Coturnix japonica: one gene and its partner. Each later gene encodes a partner of the first gene's protein in a complex. Links are inferred from orthologs where the notes say so. Each region holds a gene or a part of one and is shown in the gene's direction. Other genes may lie near its edges.

The links. The genes of interacting proteins can lie anywhere in the genome.
Region 2: KAT2B (region 1) and MYSM1 share a complex: the UniProt entries of both Homo sapiens proteins name them as parts of the large chromatin remodeling complex. The link is inferred for Coturnix japonica from reciprocal best matches to the Homo sapiens genes KAT2B and MYSM1.

The regions. Positions count from the first base shown.
Region 1 is NC_029517.1:32,877,153-32,882,383, forward strand, and holds part of KAT2B (histone acetyltransferase KAT2B), read left to right. Parts: intron 1-701; coding exon 702-910; intron 911-3,474; coding exon 3,475-3,601; intron 3,602-5,231. UniProt on the Homo sapiens protein: Functions as a histone acetyltransferase (HAT) to promote transcriptional activation. Has significant histone acetyltransferase activity with core histones (H3 and H4), and also with nucleosome core particles.
Region 2 is NC_029523.1:23,571,480-23,576,710, reverse strand, and holds part of MYSM1 (histone H2A deubiquitinase MYSM1), read left to right. Parts: intron 1-3; coding exon 4-82; intron 83-478; coding exon 479-577; intron 578-758; coding exon 759-1,522; intron 1,523-2,655; coding exon 2,656-2,786; intron 2,787-3,107; coding exon 3,108-3,211; intron 3,212-4,154; coding exon 4,155-4,232; intron 4,233-4,673; coding exon 4,674-4,762; intron 4,763-5,068; coding exon 5,069-5,123; intron 5,124-5,205; coding exon 5,206-5,231. UniProt on the Homo sapiens protein: Metalloprotease with deubiquitinase activity that plays important regulator roles in hematopoietic stem cell function, blood cell production and immune response.

The DNA.
Region 1 (5,231 bases):
CCTCCTTCTGTTCTCTTTGCCAGGCTATGTTTTGCAAGCAGCTCTTGTTTGCCAAGATTTAGCTAGAGAGTGCTGAAGGTTTGGAACCACCTACATTTCTTGCTCAACATGTATACTGTGACTGATGGCTTTGCATATTTGCAGTCTGGATGTTGGGGCTGGCAATGACTAGAAATTCAGCAGCCAAACATCTTTTCAAAAAGTAAACAGTATGAACATGCAGGAATCTTTTGGCATTGTGAAAGGATCTTGATAAAAGTTTAAACGTCTATATGAATTTAATCTCTGTGCAAACATACATATGCAGTTGCTAGATATATAACGACAAAAATAGTAGGAATTAAAATTTTTTTTTTTCTTTTTTTCTTTTATGATAGTAATGTAGGTGGTGGAAAGCACTGCTAAAATGAAAAAATAAAGCTGTGCCTCCAAAGCCATTAAAATCTCTGGTCTGCAACACATGTAGGCAAATCCATTACTATTTATGCCTTAGTATACCGTAGCATAGATTTTATATCTGCTTATTTGATGTTGTCATTTCTGCTTTAAAAAAAAAAAGAAAAAAAGAGAGAAATCATTGACAGCTCAATTTTTGTATAAAACATGGCTTGGGAAAGGAGCAGGGTTTGTTAGTTTCTTAAGGTTTTTCCAGCAGAGGATGTGAAATATACACAATGTGATTGTGTTCCTCTTTCGTACAGACCAACTTCCTCTCAGCACATTCTGCTCGGGATGAGGCAGCAAGACTGGAGGAGCGCAGGGGGGTAATTGAATTCCACGTGGTTGGGAACTCCCTGAACCAGAAGCCAAACAAGAAGATCATGATGTGGCTGGTTGGTTTGCAGAATGTGTTCTCCCATCAGCTCCCTCGGATGCCAAAGGAGTACATCACACGCTTGGTTTTTGATCCGTGAGTATGGCTGGAGAGGAGTTTCATGATTGGGATGAAGAGAGCACATTGCTTGTTGCAGACAGTGATTTTAGAATGGGCCAGCCCAGATACTGTAGAGAGGAACTCTACCCCTGCTACCCTTATGTTATTCTTATGAATGTTAGAACCAAAATTCTGAAAATAATTCTGGTGTTCATTAGTGGCCTCTGGGCCCATACTAACTTGCAGACTGCTCTATCCTCTGTTTTTGGAGTTTGAAAACCAAATGGCAGCAGAGATTGAAGGCTTTTCAGTGAGAAGAACTTGCAGAATTTATGAAGAATAGCATCTAAGTCAACATGGGGAGAATGCTTAAAATCACTGCTCACAGGAGTACATTGCCTTTCTCTTTATACGTGCACGTTTCCTGCCTTGCTTTAGGTACAAATCTACACCACAGGCACTTTTAAAGAGATATATTTGCTATAGCAACATCCACAGGTTGCATGTTGTCTTCATCCACCCTAGTGAACTGATGAATTGTGTTTAAGCAGGAGAAAAAGGGTTTTCTCTACATTCATGGATATTTACGCTCTGCCCATTCTGACTTTTGTCTTCTGCTTAGCTGTTCTATTACACGGATGTTTTTCTTCTGTTTACAGCACTCATTGCCTTTAGAGTTTCAAGGCTGTCAGGTGTCAATCTTCTTATTGATCAATACATTAAGACAATTTGTTGCCCTGACATTTTCTTTACCTTTTGCTCAGAAGTGTCTATTTTTAGACTGTTGCACTTCTTACAGAGTCTACTTCCAACCAATGTGCTTTCCCCAGATTTCTGCCTGTGTACAACCCATGTCCATTGAAGATTTAGGGGTCTACAATATTAACTGCAGCACTTCACAGTGTAGTGTGCTTGTGGACTCTTTGCTACATGTCAGTAGATACCACAAATGGAGCTTTGCTTGAGCTGATCTAGATGTCTGCCTAGCCTGGTTAGTGGTAGAGCCTACCTCCACCACCAGTGATATGAGCCACTGTCTTCATGTCTGCTATTATTGCTGTAGCAGTTAGGAAAACACTTCTGGAATGATTTCCTCTGCTTTTAGACTTGCTAGCACTTCCCTCTGCACTACTTTCTCAGTGCCAGCAAGCTCTGCTGCTGCATGCTCTGTGCAATCTCTGAAGCTCAGGCCACCCAGTTCTGGGACAAGCGGACAAAACTTCAGTCTCCAAGCACAGGAGACCAACCGTGGAACTTTTTCCTGTGTTCTTCAGAAGGGACCAGCAAGGTTCTTGTGAGGACCAGCACGAGTCTGGACTCTTTTTCTTCTCCTATGAGAGGGTAAATGCTGCTCGATTTGGAGGGAGAGGCAGCACTGAGAAATTTTCTGAAGTTTGGTGTCTTAGCAGCACTGTGAACTCAAGCAGAAGCTACTGGTTGAAGTTCAGGTTTCACAATAACCAAACATCTGAGTAAATTTTGAAGCAGTAGTCTTGTGCCATAGCCTCCTCCCACATTTCTCTAGGCCCTTCTTTATTAGCAAAGACTCTTCTAATAAGTTGATAGGAAAAAGTGCAGTCTAACTGTTCTCTTCCAAAGACTTTTCAGCCATTAATATAATTATGATCTATTTTGTTCTTATTTCCAAAGTGGTCATCCTTAGTAAATCTTTTTCCAACAAGAGAACAAACAATTTTGTTTTGAAGAAACAAAATTAAAAACACAAGCTACTATACACTGCTGTCTTTCTACAAATTAAAAATACTAAAATAAAGAAAAAAAAAAAAAGAATATGTACAATATATAAATTCTACTTCAACACTAACATTTAAAATACTTTTCAGACTGACCTTTTTTTGGAAGAGGCTCATTTTGGCACCAACTTTCCTTCACATCAAAGACATCTTCTCTGAATTTACAGTACTGTTTATACAGTTTATATTATACTGTGTACTGAATAAGCTAGAGAACAGCTGCATTGTAAATCTTTCCAGACCTTGAGGATGATGCTAAAATTTTGGTGCTTGATGTGAGAGTTCAGATTGCACCTTGCTTTATCTTTCCCGGCAGTCAGTGCAAGTGCAACAGAAATGGATATTTATTCTGGTCTCCATTTTACTAGGAATTAGATTAGAAATATGAAATATCATTTATTGCTTGATCAGCTGTGTTGGAAACTGATAGCACAGCTATTCAGAGTACATGCAAGGAAACAGGAATCCCTTAGGAAGGACTTGCTGTCCTGTAACTCCATTAATTTCTAATTTAGGCAGGCTAAGATCATACTGAGAACTATGCAATGGCACAACTGTCAGTAATATAGTCAACAAAAGTAATATAAATCTTATTAATAGAAGTACTCTAGTATGTAGGAGTACTTGGCAAGGCTAGGACATGCTGCATAATGATGAATTTTATGGTAAACTCAAAGCATGATGTTAAGAAAAACTCTTCGGTAGGTACAGATATCTTAACAGAGGCATATACAATTGCAGTGGCACCATGGAAAGAAGTGAATCAAGTTTCTGAAAAAAGGAAAGTAATGGCACATTATGTACTATGTACATGAATTAAAATGAATGTTATTTTTGTCTACTCAGGAAACACAAGACTCTTGCATTAATAAAAGATGGTCGTGTTATTGGTGGTATCTGCTTCCGAATGTTCCCTTCCCAAGGATTTACAGAGATCGTTTTCTGTGCTGTGACTTCCAATGAGCAAGTCAAGGTAAAATTAACTCTCCACTAGAGTTTATTAAATGCATATGAATTCCATTTACCACCGTATATACTCCTAATTTTGTGGTCTCATTGAATATATTGTGCTACCAAACAGAAATCAAATTTGATAGATACAGTGATTCTGAATGTACCATAGAAAACCTAAATAATAGGACAGATTTAAAATCATCAGAATAATAGTGGGACTATTTTTCTAAGAAAAAAGACACATTCCTCAACACAAAAATAATGGTAATTTTTCTTCCACTCTTGGATTATTCACCCTTTTCTTCAGCAACTGCCTTTCAGTGTGGCATAACGCATCATGGTTGGCTGAATTAAGTGTAGCTTACATGTGTTTGTAATATATGCTCAGTCTCTTTGTGATGTTAAACAGCTTCAATGAAAATTAGTTATATCGAATAAATTAGGTATAGTTTCACAACTCAAAATAAGCATACACTGTTTTGCATACTTATTTTTGAGTACAGTGTGCATAATGTTCTCAGTGTTGATCTGTAATGTTGAGAGAATGTAAAGCACTATAAATATACAGGAGATTCTGCTCTTCTTCTCCAGGATTACAGGTAAATCTAAGTGGGAGTATTTAGTTCAGGATATTGCCTTTAGATGGTGCTGTAGCTATATGTTTTTCAGTTGAAATTGTTAATGCTGAGATGTGGGTTAATTTAGAGTTTCTAGAAGATGAACAAGCAGAAACTGTGTGAAAGCCTGTGACAACTTTTAGTACTTGAATTATATTTGAATTTATGAGACTCTGAATTCATAAGGTTAACATTTCCATGGACACAGTAGTATATAAAAAAAGCACTCAAAGTGTTTTATATGAACAGTAACAGAGCTTGCTGTTGGTATGTTTATTCTATGTCTATATAATTCATAAAAGGTGTTTTAATTAAACTGAAGCATTCAAATGTGCTACAGGAGTTGCAAATATTTGTTGTGATTCTCAATTAACCTTTCCAACTTGGACTCCTCACGTTGCCTTACTGGGGTTGCACACATAAAGCACACTTTCTTCTGTTACCCTTCGGGTGTCTCAATATTTGCAGAGTTCAGTTGACTATTTCTTAATTTTGGCCTTCCCACATTCCTTTCTAAGTAAGATGACCCCTAGCAGCAGATAAGTGAGAAAGAACAAATGTTCACACAGGGATATCACTGCAAACTCTTGGGAAAAATAAACATGTTTTAATTCAGTTTGAGGCTGGAGTAAGAAATATGGAAATATGGATACTGTTTTGTGTGTGATCTTTAAAAGTTAATTTGGTTTTGAGATAGATTGATGTTATATTATAAAATTATTTTAAATTGTATCGTACGTGACTTTGTTTCTCTTTAGTATAGTTGGACTTTGGCAAGCATTTGTGAGAACAAATAAATCCCGGGGAGGTTATAAAAATAATAAATCAACTAAAAATATTTGAGCTAATTATCATTGTAATTTCTGGAGTTTCTTAGAGGCAAGAAGATGAAAATTAGTGCTAGAGATTAGCTACTTTGGGATTTCTGGAATGAATTGCAATGTTTCAAGTTGTAAGTAAAATGTCTCACACAGTTTCTTGCACCCTGTTGATGAGAAGGGAAGTGAAAAGCTTGGGTGGCTTATGCACTTC
Region 2 (5,231 bases), on another chromosome or scaffold:
TAGGGTGCGATCTCCTACAAAACCAGGCAGCAACTCATTGAAGTGGACATCAGAAGAAAAAGAACTATTTGAACAAGGGCTGGTATGAATGCATTGATGTGTAATTGTTTGAATAGGCCATTAATTTATCTTAAATAATAAACTAATCATAAATAAACACGTTGTGCTTAGCTGTTTCTACTTGTGTACTTGTAACTGCACAGTCACACTGCTGTCTTAAGTGTGCTTTAAGTATAGAATGCATAGGATGAGTGATGAAAGTGAAATCCTGCAGCTCGTATTATTAGGAATAGCAACACTTCTTACTGTTGGATGCGATGCATTCCTTGTTGCAATGTGATTATTGAGGTTCTTGGGTTCGGCTGTACTGTTTGTGTGTTTGTAATGCAAAACTGAGCTTTTAAACACTTTGTGAGTATGAACTGGAATGTTTGGAATGTTGGAGACTGGGTAACTCAGGTTTGCTTTGTTGCTCTAGGTGAAATTTGGCCGCCGCTGGACAAAAATTGCCAAGTTGATTGGGAGTCGTACTGTTCTACAAGTGAAGAGCTATGCCAGGCAGTACTTTAAGAACAAGGTAAACAGAATATTTCAAGTATTGTTGTCAAGTTAGTTTGCTTTGTATGATTTTGGTATTTTTATTGCTTTGTCAGCCTAACACCTCCCTCTGAACGTCTGTCTGCTGGTCAAGTAAAATAGTTCTGATTGTCTGGGAAGCAGTTTTTTTCCTCTTTTTAATGTATCTTATGCTTTCCTAGGCAAAAAATGATGGTTCTGAAAGAGAAGAGCAAAGTCAGTGTGGTGGCAGCCTTCCGTCTGAGGATGGAGTAAGGGTAGAAGCATGGTCAGCTGGAAGCTTGAGAGGCCGTGCAGACCCTAACCTGAATGCAGTGAAAATTGAAAAGCTGTCAGATGATGAAGAAGTAGATATAACTGATGACATGGATGAACTCTTTTCTCCTGCTTGCCAGCAAGATGTTGGAAAATCCGAATTATCTGCAATTTCAGAAAGTCCAGCTGAAGAAACAAAAGGAGCAGAGCATCCTTTACCAAATGTCGGACATAGTTCTGCTGTTTCTTTGCTGGAAGAAGACCCTCAGAATACTAAGCAACCCACAGTGAACACGTTACTGTTTCAGGATGTTGCAGCAACATGTTCTCAGCACGTGAATGGTGATAAACCTGTAAACTTGGATTACCAGCAGTGCAGTGATTTTATAGAGAAAGCTGGACAGGGTGGAACAGGAGCATCTCATGGTGCTTGGGAAACAACTGACCAGGAGCTTAATGAGGAACAGAGAGACCTGGCTGATAATGGGCTGCTTTTTCATCCCACCTGCCAAGTGGATGAAGATCATCAAGAAGAAGCAGAAGCTCTTAAGCCACCTGATCAAGAAGTGGAGATTGATAGAAGCATCATTCTGGACGAAGAGAAGCAAGCTATTCCTGAGTTCTTTGAAGGGCGCCAGGCCAAAACACCAGAGCGTTACTTGAAGATTAGGAATTACATTTTGGATCAGTGGTAAGATATATTCGTTTTCCTTCTTTCATTAAGTCATTAAAATCTCTCTTGCCCTGCTTTGCTGTAGTAAAAACAGCACAAACAGGTTTTGTAAAGAGTAGAAGTAATTTTGCAGTAATATCCTAAAGAAGCAACGAATGGCACTGAGTGGTGGTGCTTCTTTCACCTCTTCGCAGTTCTGGCCTTCTGGAAGCTGAGCAGTGAAGGTGCTTTTTGAAGCGTTATGGAAGTTTTTGTCCTATATATATCAGAATAAACCCCTTCTGGTTTTATTGTGCTTCTTTTCTTCTGTCTTTGTCATAAACTATATAAGAATCCTGAGATATTCTTGATAAATGTCTCTTCAAAAAACTTTAATTCTTTATTGATAGCTGTGGTAGTGCCCATGCAGTAGAGCAGCTGGAACAAACATTCTGCACTAGAGAAAATAATGTTGACCTAACGGTATTTCACATAAAGAATCAATGTTGAGCCGTGCTTGTACATCTGAATATTCTATATTCCATCTCCAAAAATTCAGTTTAAAGAACCTTTAATGTTTGTGGTTGCAGGCTGAACATCTGGTTTGTTGCAGTTGTGGTTTATGTGCTCGTTGGCTGGGTTACTTTACTTCTTAGTAGGAAGAATTAGCAAATTTTAGTGGGTTCTCACTGAGTGGTCTCTGTGCTAACAGCTTATTCTGGCAACAAAGAAACTCTGACATTGCATATTGGAAAGGTATTAAGCTCAAATAACTCAGTATCAGCTTAAGAGCAAGTGGAGTGAAAGCAGGCTTGTTTGTTACACTGAGGATGCATATGATTATGAGTTATTCAGAGGAATCTAATGCAGACATTCTGAGTTCAGTTTAAAAGAATCACAGTATTTCAGAGTAATTCAGTGCTTCCTGGCATATCATGTAGAAGAGTTTGTTTTAAGGCATGGAACATGAGCTTCACACTGCATGACTGTGAGTGTGTATGAATAACCCTAAAATAAATTGCATATACTTTGTGAAACCTGTGTTTTTGCTGTGGTTGCTCTGCACAGCAGTGTGTAGTGTTTGCATCGGGCTAAAACACTTTACTGTCTCATCTCCATCTGCGCAGTGACTTGTTTTCTATTGTATGATGTGTTGTTCTGTTTTATTGTAGGGAGAGATGTAAACCCAAATACCTGAATAAGACCTCAGTACGTCCGGGCCTTAAGAACTGTGGGGATGTTAACTGTATTGGACGTATCCACACGTACTTGGAATTAATAGGAGCAATTAACTTTGGCTGTGGTAAAATAAATAAATAAATACTTTTATTAGAAGTTGATTTCGAACTTAAATTTTAGTCAGTGTGTGCTGAGACCAGCTAATGGTCGTCAGCTCTTTTATTAGAATGAATATGTTCATGTGAAGAATGGATGTGTTTCTTTTCCTGCTTCCCCATATTGAACCATAAGCATTTGGTAAATCAAACAGTCTAAACCCTCAAGGCTGCCCTTTTTATTTTGACATCATACAAATGTTGAAATTAATGAAATAAAGAATAATGACTATGTAATCGCTTATCAAGATGACCTGAAGCACAGTGTATGTCTCTTCTATTTCCTGTAGAACAGGCTGTCTATAACAGACCACAACCAGCTGATAAAACACGGTCCAAGGAAGGCAAAGACACGGTGGAAGCCTACCAGCTTGCTCAGCGTTTGCAGTCCATGGTACGTTTTGGAGGTCAGGGGGAAGAGAGCGGGGTGGTGAAAAAGTGACATGCAGGTGTTTTCAAGCCAGGCCATCTCAGGAAACTCCTTCTCTTGTTCAGTTTGCAGTTTCATTCGAGTGCCCTTCAGTTCAGGTATCAGTTTAAGCAGTATTGGATTTTTACTGGTATCTGTTTTATTCTATTCTCTTGCACGTTAATTGCCCAGCTACTTAACTGAGATTTATTATGGTCTTTTTTCCTAGAATCCCAACCCCTTCCTCCCCAGCACCCCATCATCTATTAGTCCAAATTAGTCAGAAAACAGCGGAGTGTATCAATAGAGTGAGGTTAAGTTGCTTGTGTTATAATCATTAAGTATACTGGGTATGTGATATGACTTACTGAGAGTCTTACGCGTGCAATTAAGTACAGTAGTAACTCATTCATAATTAGATGAATTACCAAGGTTTGCCAGATTAATGTTCATGTTTACATTTAATGTAGCATTTTGAAGTACTTCATGGTAAAATAAGTCGGTTGATGAGAGGAAAACAAGATCAATCCCATTAAAAGAAAAAAAGCTTCATATGAAGAGCAGTAGCTTACACAGGGCACACACATACTGGCTGATGGCTTTTGCATTGTCTGTGCTATAATTCACAGTTGGATAATAGTTTGCTGTTGCTCTCAGGGATGCTGATGTTCTACAGAACATCATCCTGGTGTTCTTTACAACCTTAAGAACCTGAAAACATCACTGGTGGTATTTGGTGACAGATTGTGAATTACTCAATCCTGTAGAACTCCAGGGGGTTTTCTCTTTTCTGGATGTATGTTACAGTGTTGGGAAAGCTCATGTGGCAGTAATCTTTTGGATGATGTTCTTCCAGCCGATGAAACACAGCAAAGGCTGTTTTTTGCACGAGTTTGATCCTTGATTTGTGTTGATTTTATTTTTGCAGCGTACAAGAAGACGGCGAGTCCGAGACCCCTGGGGAAACTGGTGTGATGCAAAGGATTTGGAAGGGCAGACGTTTGAGGTAACCTGGTCTTGAACATTCGTTTACATATGTGATTATTGATAATTGCTAGCAGGTGGGATTGCTTGCTGTTACAATAAATCCTGCAGCTGTTACATCTGCTGATAAATGACTGTACTTTGGTGTTTGCAAAAGGTGTTTGTGCTGTGAGCATGGATGGATCTACACAGCTCTACACCTACAAAGCTCTTTGCCTCATCTTGTATAAAACTTCAGGAGCCTTTATTTTTAGTTATAGAAAAATCCCTGAAAACGTGCTATAAAAATTGTGGCCACTGATTGCAGTGGAAGATTTTATCCTTAATCGATGAACTTGCATTTACGCATACTTTGATACTGCACCATAATCCTATAAGACAGCAACTGGGGGTATATAAGGAGGGTAGTGATGTCAAGGATTCATTCAAGATGTTGAGACAGACTTTTGCAATTGATTTTTAGCATCTGTCTGCTGAAGAATTAGCAAGAAGAAGAGAAGAAGAAAAACTGAAGCCTGCAAAACCTTCTAAAGGTTCAAGACAAATAAAAAGGTATTTGATGTACATCCTGTTCCAAAATGGGTCTTCTAGAAATAAAACAATTGGTTTGCATGGCATCGGGCTGGAACGCTTCAAATTAGTACTAGGTATCGTGGGCAGAGTTAACATGTGGCATTTCGGATGTTTAATGCTGCAATTCAAAAGTGTGGGAGGTGAACTTCTGTATTTGGTGGGAGTATGAGATGAAAGGCATGCAGTGAAGAAATCCTCTTCTTCTTGTACTGAGGAGACAGTGGGAAACTAGGAAAGTTTCCTGACTGTCCTACATCTTTAGAGAAATTCTCTTTCGTTTTATAGTTCCTTTGATCCCTTTCAGCTGATACCGTGCTGTTTATTCACTGAAGAAAAGCAGGTATGTATCCGAGTGAATATCAATAATGCTTTATTTAGTTACGTTGCTTTCATTATACTCATAGTGGTGTTTGTGATTTCAGGAACCCTTTCAGGTGAAAGTGTCTTC